Linked DNA regions of Caenorhabditis elegans. The protein of the gene in region 1 purifies or fractionates together with the protein of each later gene. This does not show direct contact. Each region holds a gene or a part of one and is shown on either strand. Other genes may lie near its edges.

Region 1 (9,228 bases):
AGATCTACTTTTTTGTTTCATTAAACTATCATGTTCTTCAGTGCTTGCCGTGATACTCTCTCATTGATGTACTCTTGTGGAATGTACGATTGGTCGGGGCAGTTCGCTTTCCACGTAGGTCTTCCAGCCAAATCAGGAGTATCTGGAGATATGATTATTGTGATTCCGAATGTGATGGGTATTGCCTTGTACAGTCCACGACTTGATAAACTTGGAAACACGGTTCGAGGTGTCAAGTTTGCAGAACAGCTCGTACAAAAGTATAACTTCCATAATTATGATAGTCTGGTAAGTTATCTCAAAATAGAAAATTCTAAAGTTAATTTATTTGAGTTTTCTTTCGAAATATCTTATGGTGGGGGCGCAGAGAGAATCTCCTTTAGAAATCGACCTGGAAACGCGCTCCATGGCAAAATGAAAATGCTCCGCCCCCGAACCATGGGTCTCGTTAGGTATTTGGCGGCAAAACCGTATGCAACATTTATTTAGTTTTGCCGATTTTGTCAAATTTTTTAATTTGTTGTAGAATTTTTATTTTTTTATTCCGCCAAATTCCTAACGAGACCCATTGCTCGGGGGCGGAATGTTTTCAATTGTCCGTGGATCGCCTTTCCACGTAGATTACCAAACGAACTTTTCTCTGCATCCCGAATAATATATTTGGTTAAAAATTAGCATTTTCTACTTAAACCATAATAATCCCAATTCAGATCTACTCGGATAATAAGAAAATCGATCCTCGTCGTCAATTGAAAGATGATCATGACGGTCAGAATCGTTTCATGTATGCTACAAAATTGGGTGATATTGCTGCAATTAAACGATTCCTTTTGATGGGACATGATATTCATTGCAAAGATTATGATGATCGAACAGTTTTACACGTGGCTGCTGCTGAAGGAGACGTTGTCACATTGGAATACGTATTGAGTAAATGGCAAGAGGATCCGAATCCATGTGATAGATATGATAGAACTCCATTGGATGATGCTAAACATTTTAATCATACTGCTTGTGTTAAGCTGCTAGAAGAGGCAATTACGGTTTACAATCTTAAAGGACAAGATGATTAGGAATAGATGTTCTAGAAATTGATTTAAATTAATAAATCATTCCATTTTTTGTCATTTGTTAATTTACAGTCAAATTGTTGGAAGAAAAATTGAAAGATCAATTAAAAAAATAAAACTAAATAGAGCTTTATATTATTCAAGAGATCGAATGAAAATTGCTCGGTAAATAGAACACGATGAATGATATTAAAATAACAAAAAAGATTAAGAAAAATTGAATTCTCGTACAAGTTGGAAATCCTTGAGATGATCATTGAGCTTCTGGTGCAACTCCCTTCGTTGGTGGTTCTTGTTGAATATGGCTGAAAATGAAAGCATTATTATGATAATAGAGAGTTTATCCGTATTTTTTGAGCTTCGAAAGTGTTAAACAGAAAAGGAATCACAATCCAGAGCACACTTACAATCTCTTCATCTCGAGTTGCTTATTGTGTTGTCGTGAGTCCAAATCAAGAACAATCTTCTTTTCGATATTTTCTTCAGTATCGGAGAGCGCATTCAACATGATTCTCTGTAAATTCGTACAATTTTTAAATAATCAAGTGACCAAAATCTTACAAAGTCATCCTCGATTGCTTCTGAAATATAAAACAGATCCTGTTCCACATCCGACCATTTTGCTTTTGTCATCGAGGAATAGTCTGATTCTTGAACAAATGTCAACGCCTTGACACTGAGTTGCGGCAAATAGGTTCCTCTGTAGAAATGTTGTTTTATAAGAAACGACTTTTAAATAAATTAAATTTCAATTACCTTATTTTGTAAGCTCTTCCAACATCCAACTTGCAATGGAAGCATTTGATATCACTGAGTGGTTGATTGTCCTCACTCAAGTACTTACTCACCTTTCGCTTCTGAAAAAATTCAATTTTTCACAATCACAAATTGCGTTTCTATGATAAACAGAAGTCGGCTTAGCTGAAAAAAACATTTACTTGAAACATCTGGAAATTGCACAAAAATAGCCTGAAAGTCAATTGTCGGAAAGCAAAGTTCGGAAATTCAGCAATTTGATAATCGGCAATTCGACACTTCCAGGTAATTTTTAAGCACTTTATAAATGTTTCAACCTGAATAAGTTAATTTCAGATGAATAAAGCGATTTTTTTACTTTAAAACGATTTTTTAGTGACAGAAATTTTTTTAATTGTCTTTTTTTTTGAGAAATTTTAGGTTTCGGTTTTTTGGGAAAATGGTTTTACAGCCCTGGTCTACGAGTATAATCTTACAAAATTCATTAAAATTATATTTTCGACAAGCCGGCTCCGGTTTTTGAGCATTCATCAAACGTACCGATTCAACATGCAAAAATCTCCATACACTTGGATCGAACACCATGTAATTCGAGAACACTTTTTTGATATAAATACTCTTGCAGAACTCTTTTGAACAATTGCTGCACATCAATTTATAAATCTTATTCTCATGTCGTAATCTCAAATTGAGTTGCTCTTCCAGATTTCGTTTCCTTTCAGCCGCATTTAGTTCAGCGACTCGTTTCACTTCTGCAGCCAATTGTTTCTCGCCATTCTCTGTGATCTTCTTCACACAAAGTCTCATATACTTTTCAGAGATTAACGCGTTAGTCTCGGTTTCATTGATACTACTCTTCACTGATAAAAGCACAGAACGAGAGTTTTTGGCACGTGCACGACCTCTTTGTTGAACAAGTTGAATGGCTGATCCTGATGAACAGTTGTACTTGATAATAAGATTACATGCAGTAACATCGAGACCTTCTTCAACAACTGACGTTGCCACAATTACTTTAAGTCTTCCATTGTTGAATTTATCAAGTGTCAATTGTTGTTCTTGTGAAGTCTGCTGTACAGCGCCCTGTTTGTTTGTTCCGAGAACATATCCAACCATTTGTTCACCATAATTACCAAATTGATCTAAAACTTTAGATTCGTTCAAGAAATCACTGACACGTTGAGCGGTGCTTCTTTGTGTTACGAAAATAATAACTCGAGATTCAGGAGCCACGTGGAACTGATTGGTGAGTGTATTCTTGAGACGTAGAACAATTTCTGGTTCAACGGATTGAATTGTTTGTTTCAAAGTATCATGGTCTTTGATGAAGGTGCTGTATTCGACTGTCTCTGAATGACTTTCATTCAATTTCCCAATAGCTTTTTCCATGTATTTGAATGCAACCATCGCAGGCATCAGATCAACGATTCCGCGAGCTTCGAGATATACCTAAATCATTTCATTTACAAGAATCTTTGAAAATGAATCAAACCTTCATGTATTTCGCCCAAGTTTGAGAATTCCATTTCTCAGGAACATTCAATTTGTTCAACTCTTGAATAATACCTTGAAGTAATGAATCGTAGTACTCATAATTCTTCGGTTGATTCTTTTTAAACGTGTTAATCATATTCGGTGGGATAGTGTTGTTGCGGCCAGTTGATTTAGACATGCTTGCTAATTCTTCGAGAAATTTGCCATGGGCGTGGTTAAGGTATCGTTCGATGTAATCTCGAAGGATATTTTCTTTGGCAGGCAAGCATAGTTCGACAGCTGAGAAGAATTTTTTTGAAATAATTCTCTCATGAAATTTCATATTCCGAAGAGAAAACAAGTAATTGGTTATTTTTGGAATAGAGTAAATGAGGAATTTACTTTGAAATTGCCGGATTAGCTTGAAGTTAAACAATACCATGAGAAATAAGGGAAAACAAAGGAAATTTCAATACCGTGGTTTTGATTCTAAAGTGGGTTTTCAGCTTCCGAAGGTTTTTTTTTTCAATTCCTGTTTACAACACTTCATTTAGAAACCATTTTTCATTTTACAAGAACAATTTACAATTTTCAAATTTTTTTGAACTGTGTAAACTTGAAAATAAATATTTTTATAATTTGATACACCTAGAAATTTATCTTATTTGTATTTTAAAATTTATTTATGGTTTTTAAGAAAAAAAAAACTAAATTTCCAACTTGAGAACAAACTTACAATCATCTGGTTTTCCAACATGCTCATTGAGCTCATCTATGCTCGATTGGCGAGTGATTGTACTCAAATGTGGAGCGTTGATCAATGCGAGCATATTATAAATATCATTAAGCATCTGATTCTCGTCTTTTTGTCCATCAACTTTGACACTCAATGAAGCTGTCAGACCAATGATTTGTGGTTTTTCATACTTCCATTCTTGAACCATTTGATTAATCAACACATATGGATGATTTTTTGCAGCTTTATGTACTTCATCGAAGATCATCATTGAGAAATCACTCACATACAAACGCTCATTTTGACGTACCGATTGAAGCATGTTGCTGAAATAATTAGTTCGGGTATTATAAAAACCAGAGCTCGATCCGAAAAAATTAAACATTTTATATATCTTGATTAAAATTGCACTCTTTTTATAATTTATAATTTTTTTTGAAAAAAAAAAGTAAAATAAAAAATTAATGAGTTATATCAGAAATTTTCGATTCAGAATTTAATGAACCTGATTCCATTAACTCACATCAGAATTTGAGGAGTCATAACTGATACATGAGTAGCAATTACTTCATCACGACGTCCTGTTCCACTGACACTGCTCTCGGATCCATGAAAACCATTAACTTCGTACATTCCGTTACAATACTTCAGGAATCTGTCTTTTTGTTGACCGACAAGCGGGATTTTCGGCACAAGGAGCACAACCTGGAAAATAAAATTTTATTGCTTCTATATCAAGGGGAAATAATATTAGAACTTGACGAGAAAATTAAAAAAAAAACATACTCTGGAAGGCTTTCCTTGGGATGTTCGTTCTTCAATATGTTTGAGAGCCGCATAAATTGCCACTTCTGTTTTACCAGAACCAGTCGGAGCAACAATAACACAATTCTTTCCTTCGAGAGCCGGTTGGACAAGTTCTTCTTGATAAGTACGCAATACAAGTTCAGTAACCACCGCATCTGGATCTGGAAAAAGGAAAATTTGCACTAAATGTTGGAAATATAATCTTACTGTAGCCGCTGTCTTTCGGTTGTGGACGTATTGTCGTGCAAACATCCTCGCCGACAGCTTCCTCGTTAGTCCGCTGACTTTTCAGTAGGGTAAGGCGGATACGGTCACGTTCTTTCTCTCGTTCTTCTGAAAATTGATTTAGTTAAGCCTAGATTGTAAATCGAAATTCGTAAAATACATCAAATAGCATGAGATGGCCGAATAATAAAAAGTTAGGCATTATTTAAAATTGTATTAAAATAATTTCAGTATTTTGAAATCTGAAGTACAAAATGTTTGCCGCTATTTAATTTCCAAACAAAAAAAAACTTACCAAGCTCTTCTGGCCAGTTCTTATCCAAAAAGTAGAGAGCCGCTCGATTAGCTGGATCATTCTTCATTGCATCAATAAATCCGTAATACCACTCTTCGTGTTCATTTTTCTCTTTTTTGTCATTCGATTTGAATCCGATGATTGCGAGAAACATGGTGAGAGTCTTATGAAGACTCCATTTCTTCACAGCATATTTTTTCTCTTCTCCATTCTCGATTTTCAGCTCGAACGCTGGTCCTTCGGTTAGCAAATCTTCGACCAAATCAGTTGATAGTTGATGATTACCTTTGTTAAATACTTCAAAAGCGAGAATTGTAGTTTCACTAACACAACGTGGATTCGATTTCAGATGCTTCATAATAATCATTCCACGTGCAGCTCCAGCCACTCTATCAAGCTTCTGATATCCAAATGGATTATTGGTAACTTCCTCTTCATCGTAGAATTTATTTTTGAAAGTCTCAGCAGTTAACCAGCCATCAGGAAGATCTTCCCAGTGTGAGTATCCATAAAGTTCTTTATCGTCTGAATTTTACAGTTCAAAACGTTTGAAATTTCACGATTACTTACAGTTAAACATCACTTCGTCAGCAATTCTGAGTCCCTTCTCATCGAACAAAACAGTGTTCAAAAAACATTCCGAGAATCTTCTCTGAAATAAAAATTATTTTATTAAATGTTTTTCAAAAGTGTTTTTACCCTTTGAACTTTCTGCTGATGTGCGTGACGCAATGTAACGTATGTTTCTGCCTGTTTTCTGATTTTAACGTCGAGACTGAAAAATTGGTATTTAAAAAAAATATGGCACGAAAATTCCAGACACCATAATACTTTTTTTTGACCTTTTAAGCTTCTGTGACTCGAAAACTCACGATATTTAAACTTTTTATAAAAATTTAAGTCATTAAAACAATTTTATGTTTTCAAAACTCCGTTTCGACATCCTTGCCGTCACAGATATAGATAACACCGAAGAAATTGTTTTCGTTGGAACGTTTTTCTAATACATGATTTCTCTGTCGTCTTACTCGGCATTTCTGATTTTAATCATGTCCGGGTCATGAGAAACTGGAGTTGGCTCGTCAATGATCATTCTGGCAATTTCTTCCAATTTTCCTGGCGGGAACAGCGATTCAAATAGTTTGAAATATCCGATATCGTTGTTTCGTGTACTCTCCACGCATACATCAAGGAATTTCCATCTAAAATAATATTTAATTATTTGATCGAGTGCAAGGGGGGAAATGTATAATTTTCTTACTTGAGAAGACGAAAATACGCTGGAAAATATGGAGACTCAAACGGAAGGCGAAGCTTCGATTTGTCGTAATCTTCTAAACGTATTGCAGTTGGTTGCATTATCGAAAATATCTGTAGGAAATTATTAAATTAAATTTTGCCGACAAAACGACAAAAAGACATGTTGTTCAAACTGGCGCACAAAATATAAACAAGTGTGGCAGAGGTTTTCACATTAATGATTTTCTCTTCCTCTTGCCAATGATAAAAAGTTAAGAGGGAAATACATGAATGAACAGAAAACCATTATTAGTGTTAAAGAAGGGCAAGTAGTGTCAGGAAGGGAAGTTTTGGTTTCAGTATTCAATATTTAACGATGAGCAACGGCGGAATCAATAAAATTAGTATTTAAATTCTACAACATAAATAAATGTTTTGGCTCTTCAACCTTGTGAGAAAATAAAATCATAATATTTAAAACAAGAATAAAACTTTCATTAAAACTGCAAATTCACGGGAACCGGTGATGGAAATACGAGCAGCTGCCAACAGAAAATGAAGAAAAGAAAAGGAAATTTGAAAGATAGAACAGAAAATAAAATTCTTTCGGCAGGTTGTTGGGATGAATTTCAGCTGATGAATGGCAAATTAATACGAATAACTGGATGAAAAGAAAACATCGAAAATAACATTTTACAACGTTAAAACGAATCGTTGATGCACTTTTAAGCGTCTGGCTTTAGAAGTTCAGCGGAGTTCCTGGCAGCTTCAGCAGCACGGTCGGCGCGTTCTGAAAGAAAATAAGAGAAATGCTTTTTTTCGATATTTAATAAATTATCCATATGAAAAATTGTTAAATTCTTTCTTTACTCAAAAATCGAGTTTTAAGCGGTTTTTTGTAGGATTAATTTTCTAGCCATGAATAAAATACCTTTTTTCACAAAACGCTGCCTTTCGATCTCAATGCGCCATTCGAGAGGAAGTCGAAACCATTCTTCCACAGGATGTTGAGCAGTGAATGCTTCATCGGAGAGAGGATCATCTGGATCCACGTCCACATAGATACTTTTCGACGTCTCTTTCATATTGTCCAATGTAGAGTTTGAACAACTTAGTGATGGATTTTTAGAAATATTTTTATTTTCTGAAATTGCGAAGGTTGTTAAACTTGTCAACTTTTCTTGTAAAACGAACTTTTAGAGGCTAAGTATTTTTGGAGGAACTCTTTTGGCAACCGTTGGAAAATGTAATTCGGGTAGAACTTGGCGAAATTTCCTGTGTTCTCGTACTCCTTCAAGCACTCCTCTACGGTCATTGTTGGCTGAGAATAATGCTGAGAATGATTCTTTCGGGACCCACTTGATTTATTTTTTTTGTTGCCCATCTGGAAGATGAATATCAGCATAAAATAGGACACGGGTAGGGCTGCAAAACCTCGGTAAAGTTAACGTGTTAAACAATAAAAAGTAATACTAATATGAAAAGTGTCATAACATGTAGTGCATATTTCTGGTTAAAACCAATATTGGATAACAATAAAAACCTATAGAACAAAACTTTAAAGCGTTTATTAGAAAACACGAACAACGATACTATAGCTCTATAGAGAAAATTTTAAAGGGAAATGAAATAATCTTAACAAAAAAAAAAAGAAAAAAAGTTCGTCACTTGAGCATTTTCAAAATTTTTGAATAAAACTGTTGAACTCATCACGATGATGAATGCATTTGTGATATGTTACAAGTATTGCACGAAGATTACATCTGGAAAATAAACTCAGTTATTGGAATTATTTAACGGCATTTCTAAAAAAATAAATTACCTTGTTCGAGTAGCCGTGTTTTTCGCGTAGCCGATAAATTTCATTGATTACTGGCTCATTCAAAAGAGCCCACTTATCGTCCGGGTAGAAGCCGTACAAACAGTTCTTGCCACATTGTGCTAAGGGTTTCAGTGGGATTTTCTCGTTATCGCATGATACTCCGTCAATTGACTCGTCCTCTTCTTTCCGTTCAACTTTCACATTGTCGGGGTCTTCAGCCTCCACCGGCTCATCGTTGATCACAGAATCGGAACAATTACCAGCAGTTTCTGAATCCATATGATCTTTCGAAGTTTTTACACAGTCTCCGGTTGATTCTTCTTTCAACACTTCTTCAGAGATTACAGAGCTGGCAACGACCTGTGAAGCTTTCTCCTGGTCTTCATTATTTGCATCATCTGTGCTAGTCGCATTTTCTTGAACGATATCCGGTTCAGCAGCCACTGCATCTACTGCGATCACTCCTTCTTTTGCATCGGAAGACGCTTTTGTGGTTACTTCTTCCGATTCTTCACACTTTTCCGCGTCTCCAGGAAGTACTTCTGGGCTCTTCTCAGGTACCTTGCTATCTTCTTTTGACTGCTTTGTGTCTTCCTTCAGCTCTTCCTTATCAATTTTTTTGTGTGATGTCAAAAATTTGATCTTAATTGTGAAATGTCTGAGGAGATTCTGAAATTTCGAATGAGGTTTTTTCTATAAAGTCATATTCGATCCCAAACCTTCTTCCAATTCTCATCTATCGGCATCTCGGCGGCGTACTTTTTCATTGCTTCATAGAGCTGTGTACGAACTACTTCTTGTGGAA
Region 2 (4,567 bases), on another chromosome or scaffold:
CACATAATTTCAGAGTTTTAGGCAATTTCAGTGATTTTTTCATGAACTATTTGCATTTTTCTTGTATATTTCTTTTATTTTCCGATTAAAAAACCACAAAAATGAAGAAAATCAGTGAAATATAGAAAATAAATTTAAAATAAACCTTAAAACGTAAATATAAACTCAGGTTCAAAACGGCTTGTACAAATCAGCAAAGATAATTTTTTTGAAACTAATCGAATTTCTTCAAAGACTTAAATATTATTCAGCTACTTCAGAAACCTCATAATTTTAATGTTTCCACATTTTCAGAATCAATCTGGGTTATCATTCGAGTGCGGCCACTTACTGAAGCAGAAGCCGCGATGGAAGTCTCCGCGCAACCAATGGATCCATTCCATCGGCAACTCGCTGTGATGTCATTTGTGGAAGGACCAAGTAGCAGTGGGACACATCCATCTCCAGTGCCTGATCCACCTCAAGAGGACATGATGGAATGATTCGAGACCTTGTAAATTCTATTGTTATTATTGTGATGATCATCAATTATTTACCGTGGGATATCTTAATCAAATGTAAATTTCAATGCAGTTATTGAATCAAAAGTAATCTTCTAACTATTTTACTTTTAAAATTCAACGTAGCTCGGGTTATCAGACATCTGGTAACTCTGTAATGAACCTTATTGAAACATATTTTCTCATTAAGATTTGTTCCAATTGTGATAGACACCCAGTACAGATTTGTTGCCTTTTCCACCTCTCGCATTTCTTTTTCAAACTATTCATCACTTTTTTCCCCAATACCTATTAGCCTTTTTATAAAATAACATTAGAAGTCATTGGTATCAACTAATTTTATCACCACCATTTATTGCACTAATCCATTGAAAGATTATAATTGGAGAAATAAATGAGAAAGTATTATTTGAAAGAATGTAAGATTTGTGTGCAATTGCCGGATGTTTAGGCGCTGGCGAGCTCGTCTTGGGCTCCGGTGGTGATGAGGTGAGCGAATGCCTTGTAGTCAACCTCTCCTCCCTCGATTGGTGGCTTTCCCTGAAAGAAGAGGAATTGGTAAGTTTCAATGATTTCAGAAAGAATGAATTTACCTTGTACATAGCCTTGACCTCATCCTCGTCTAATGGCTCTCCTCTCTTGTTTTGAAGGATCTTGATAAGGTCGTCCTCCTTGATCTTTCCGCAGTCCTTCTTATCGAACATAGCAAAAGCTCCAACAATGGTGGCCTCTGGGTCAGTTCCTGAAATTATTGCAATAATGAATTGAATTCCATTAGAAAATCTGAAAAGCCTACCTGTCAATCTCTCCCCGAAAAGGGTGAGGAAGACGGTGAAGTTGATTGGTCCGGATGCCTCCTTGATCATGGCGTCGATCTGGCTGTCTGGGGCGATTTGTCCCATGGATGCGTAGAGATCCTTGAGGTCAGACTAAAAATTGTTCATTAGTATCATTTTAAAACTTAAAAAAAGCTAACCTTGTCGATGATTCCGTCCTTGTTCTGATCCATGATTCCGAAGGCCTCCTTGAACTCCTGGATGGTCTTCTGGTCGAATTGGGCGGCCTCGGATCCCGAGCGCTTCTTTGAGGACTTCTTCTTGGCGGCCTTGGACATGTTGGAAAAGGTTCTCTACCTGAAACTCAGTTATTTGTTTACAGGTAGCACACAAAATTGTCGAAACAATGATAGAAGTAAATTGCTTGGGAAACGAACAAATTAAAATTAAAAATGCACCCATGAAAAGTATGAAGAAGAAGCCTTTTCCAAGTCCCGATCTTGTCGAGAGCATTGAGATAATAATGGTTGGTTGGTAGGCGTATGGGAAGGAGGAGTAGCTGGATGGGAGGAATGTGATACGAAAAGAGACCGAGAGGAGGTGCTCTCTCCACGGCGGGCAAAGTTAGTAGGCAATTGGTGGAGGGTGGCAGATTCCCGGGATGCCGTTTGAGATAGAGTGTAACACAGCGGGCAGCGATCAGTTTTGCCAGCAGAGATAATGTGTCCCAAGCAGAAGCTCGACACAAAGAGCGCTAGAAAGAGCAGTGCCCGTGATCCGTGCGCCGTGTCTGTGCTCTCTTTGGGGATCTCAGACTTTCTGATCACCCTCACACGGCCGGGAAGATATACGCAATATCTGTTTGTGAAGAAACGACAAACGCAAATATCTACAGAGTTGCGGCAACGCATGGGGGAGAGAATTTTTGGAAAAGCCAACTGTTTGGCTTCGAATATTTTCTCAAGTACATCTCTCTCAAAAGCAGGTAAAAGTTAAGGTGGTAGGCTTTTTGCTGCGCGCAGAAAAGCGAGGGTGGAGAGCAGGGAATCTAGGGATTTTTGGGAGATGAATGATCAGAGTTGCACTGAGGGTGGCCCATTAACACAAAATAGGAATTAGAAAGAATATAACTTTGAATGTTGAATGAAAACATGTAACATCGAATATTGTTTCTAATGGCTGAAGACAAATTAACAAGTTCGTAAAAAGAGAACAATTGAAAGGAATGTTTATAAGTGGTTTTTATTGTTTTTCTAGCAAGAACTTTTCCGAAGATAAAAAATTGAATGTTCAGATTGTTTTGTATCTCATGAGCCCAGTAGAAATCTTTACTACTTCATAAGTATGGAAATCAAAATAAAACATTACAAAACATAAATTTTTCGAAAAATTGAAATTATGTTCAACAAAAATGCCAAGCGACTGGAAAATTGTATCCAATGTTTCTTTGCCAACTTTAAAATTGTATATTTTGTTTCTAGTAGTTGTGCTTGCTGATTATCAAAAAATTGAAGAAGACATTGTTCAACAATTGATTTTTAGAGGCGACAGCTAATCTGAACTTGTGATTCTAACGTGTTGTAACAAATTTTCAAAGCGCGTTTTCCAGACCATCATCGTACTTTTCAAAACATTAATGGTTTACTGTTTGAAGTTTTCAGAGGAAACATTTGATTTACACAAATTGTTGTAATTGGAATTAGAACTATTGTTTATGCTTCAATTTCGTTAAAGCAATTTTTTCACAATTTTGTTTGATGTATATTGGAAAAAAAAATTCAATTATTCATTTTACAAACGGAAATTGTGGAGTGATAATAATAATAACTTTTACGAACATTTGTAATACGCTCATAATAAACATTAAATGATTTTTTCAAATTTACAAACAAACCAAAAAATTAACTCTTTTCGAAGTAAAACGTTTCAAAAATAAGTTAACAAACAGGAAGCAAAATTAAAAGCGTTTCTGCCAGCTGACGCATTATCTTAAAAGCTGTTTTCAGATAAGAGCACTGGTAGACAGAACACTCAATAGAAAATCAGATGAAAAAGTTTGAAAGTTGAGGAATCAAAAAAGTTATCCTTGTTAATTTAGGATATGAGTAAGAACCTCTTGTCACACTAATTCTGATGGAAGGTTTTTTTTTCTGAATCGTTTCTGAATTGTCTCCAATGAGAGTATAGTTCGAAACACAATTTTTGTCTGTTATTCAATGACATCAAAATTATTGATTTCAAAAATAGCTGCAAATCCTAAAATCAAAAATCACTGCGTATGTCAAAACTTTGAAGATTGTGTGAAAATCAATATTTGCTCTGTTTCATCCTATCTTAAAATACGCCCGATTAATTATTTCATTTTAACAAAACTTGAAAAAAAACTATACAAATAGATTTCACAAGTAGTTGAAACAATTAGTAGGAAAATTATAATTTATACCAGAAAAATATATGTCAAAAAAAATTATCGTTAGTGAAATATTATAAACAGATATTACTGGAACCATCTGATAAATTCAGTATGTCCCATTTAGTCATGTTATGAAAATTAAAATTTATAATCAAGTTCCAAAACAAAAGAGTTTCAGATTTTCAAGTTTTCAATTATCCTGTTTGTTGGAAATGTTGAATTTAAACCTTCCTTTCCAACTCAAAACAAATTCTGATTATGTTGTGCCCTGCTCAGATTTAAAGCTCGGATGATCTATTCCCTTTCCCTTATTGCATCCCCTCATTTATCCGATCGAGCAACTTTTTCGATGGCGGGTAAGAGGCATCGCGACGCAAGCAAGGCGAGAGTTTTGCCCATCTTCTTGGAAACCTCCGACGGGTGCCTGATGTTAGCACCACGGGGGCGGTGCGCCTCTTGTGTAAAGTTGTTGAGATTTGCTCAAACAGCCCTCCCCTCGACGCGGGGCCCAACGAGTGTAAAAGGCAGACAAAAGCGACGGATAATCTTCAGTTAGTCTCAGTTCACTACTCAGTACAGTCCACAAAATGGTGAGTTGGATTTTTTAATAAGTTATTTGAAAAGCATGAGTTTCTGTATAGGAATAGGAGTGCGTTCATATATATTTTGATTTAACCTGTCTATATTGTATTTAAAAAATTATTTATTTTGAATCAGAGGTTCTATAATCAGTTTCATCTTTAAAAAATTTCTGGTAAATTAAGAACGTAACATTTAGATTTAGGCTTTGTTTAAAAATCAAGCAATTAAATCGACTATAAAATTGTCAATATGTTCTCAATTTTCCAGTCCAAGGCCGCCAAGAAGAAGTCCTCAAA

What was found.
Region 2: the proteins of drh-3 (region 1) and mlc-2 purify together in Caenorhabditis elegans (affinity purification with mass spectrometry, with the first as the bait; one study listed by BioGRID). This does not show direct contact.

Annotation. Positions count from the first base shown.
Region 1 is NC_003279.8:7,818,336-7,827,563, reverse strand, and holds drh-3 (Helicase ATP-binding domain-containing protein), read right to left. Parts: upstream 6,734-9,228; 5' UTR 6,722-6,733; coding exon 6,624-6,721; intron 6,565-6,623; coding exon 6,391-6,564; intron 6,138-6,390; coding exon 6,062-6,137; intron 6,015-6,061; coding exon 5,933-6,014; intron 5,888-5,932; coding exon 5,363-5,887; intron 5,176-5,362; coding exon 5,050-5,175; intron 5,004-5,049; coding exon 4,822-5,003; intron 4,741-4,821; coding exon 4,559-4,740; intron 4,362-4,558; coding exon 4,036-4,361; intron 3,600-4,035; coding exon 3,319-3,599; intron 3,276-3,318; coding exon 2,367-3,275; intron 1,928-2,366; coding exon 1,827-1,927; intron 1,771-1,826; coding exon 1,632-1,770; intron 1,585-1,631; coding exon 1,478-1,584; intron 1,376-1,477; coding exon 1,324-1,375; 3' UTR 1,186-1,323; downstream 1-1,185. Other genes in the region: glna-3 (Putative glutaminase 3), read left to right, coding at 42-288, 711-1,073; D2005.7 (NAM-associated domain-containing protein), read right to left, coding at 7,327-7,391, 7,533-7,745, 7,796-7,985; D2005.4 (TPR_REGION domain-containing protein), read right to left, coding at 8,359-8,364, 8,424-9,092, 9,143-9,228.
Region 2 is NC_003284.9:17,454,954-17,459,520, forward strand, and holds mlc-2 (Myosin regulatory light chain 2), read right to left. Parts: upstream 1,634-4,567; 5' UTR 1,615-1,633; coding exon 1,477-1,614; intron 1,430-1,476; coding exon 1,297-1,429; intron 1,243-1,296; coding exon 1,094-1,242; intron 1,041-1,093; coding exon 948-1,040; 3' UTR 839-947; downstream 1-838. Other genes in the region: C36E6.2 (Nbr1 FW domain-containing protein), read left to right, coding at 295-482; mlc-1 (Myosin regulatory light chain 1), read left to right, coding at 4,277-4,279, 4,539-4,567.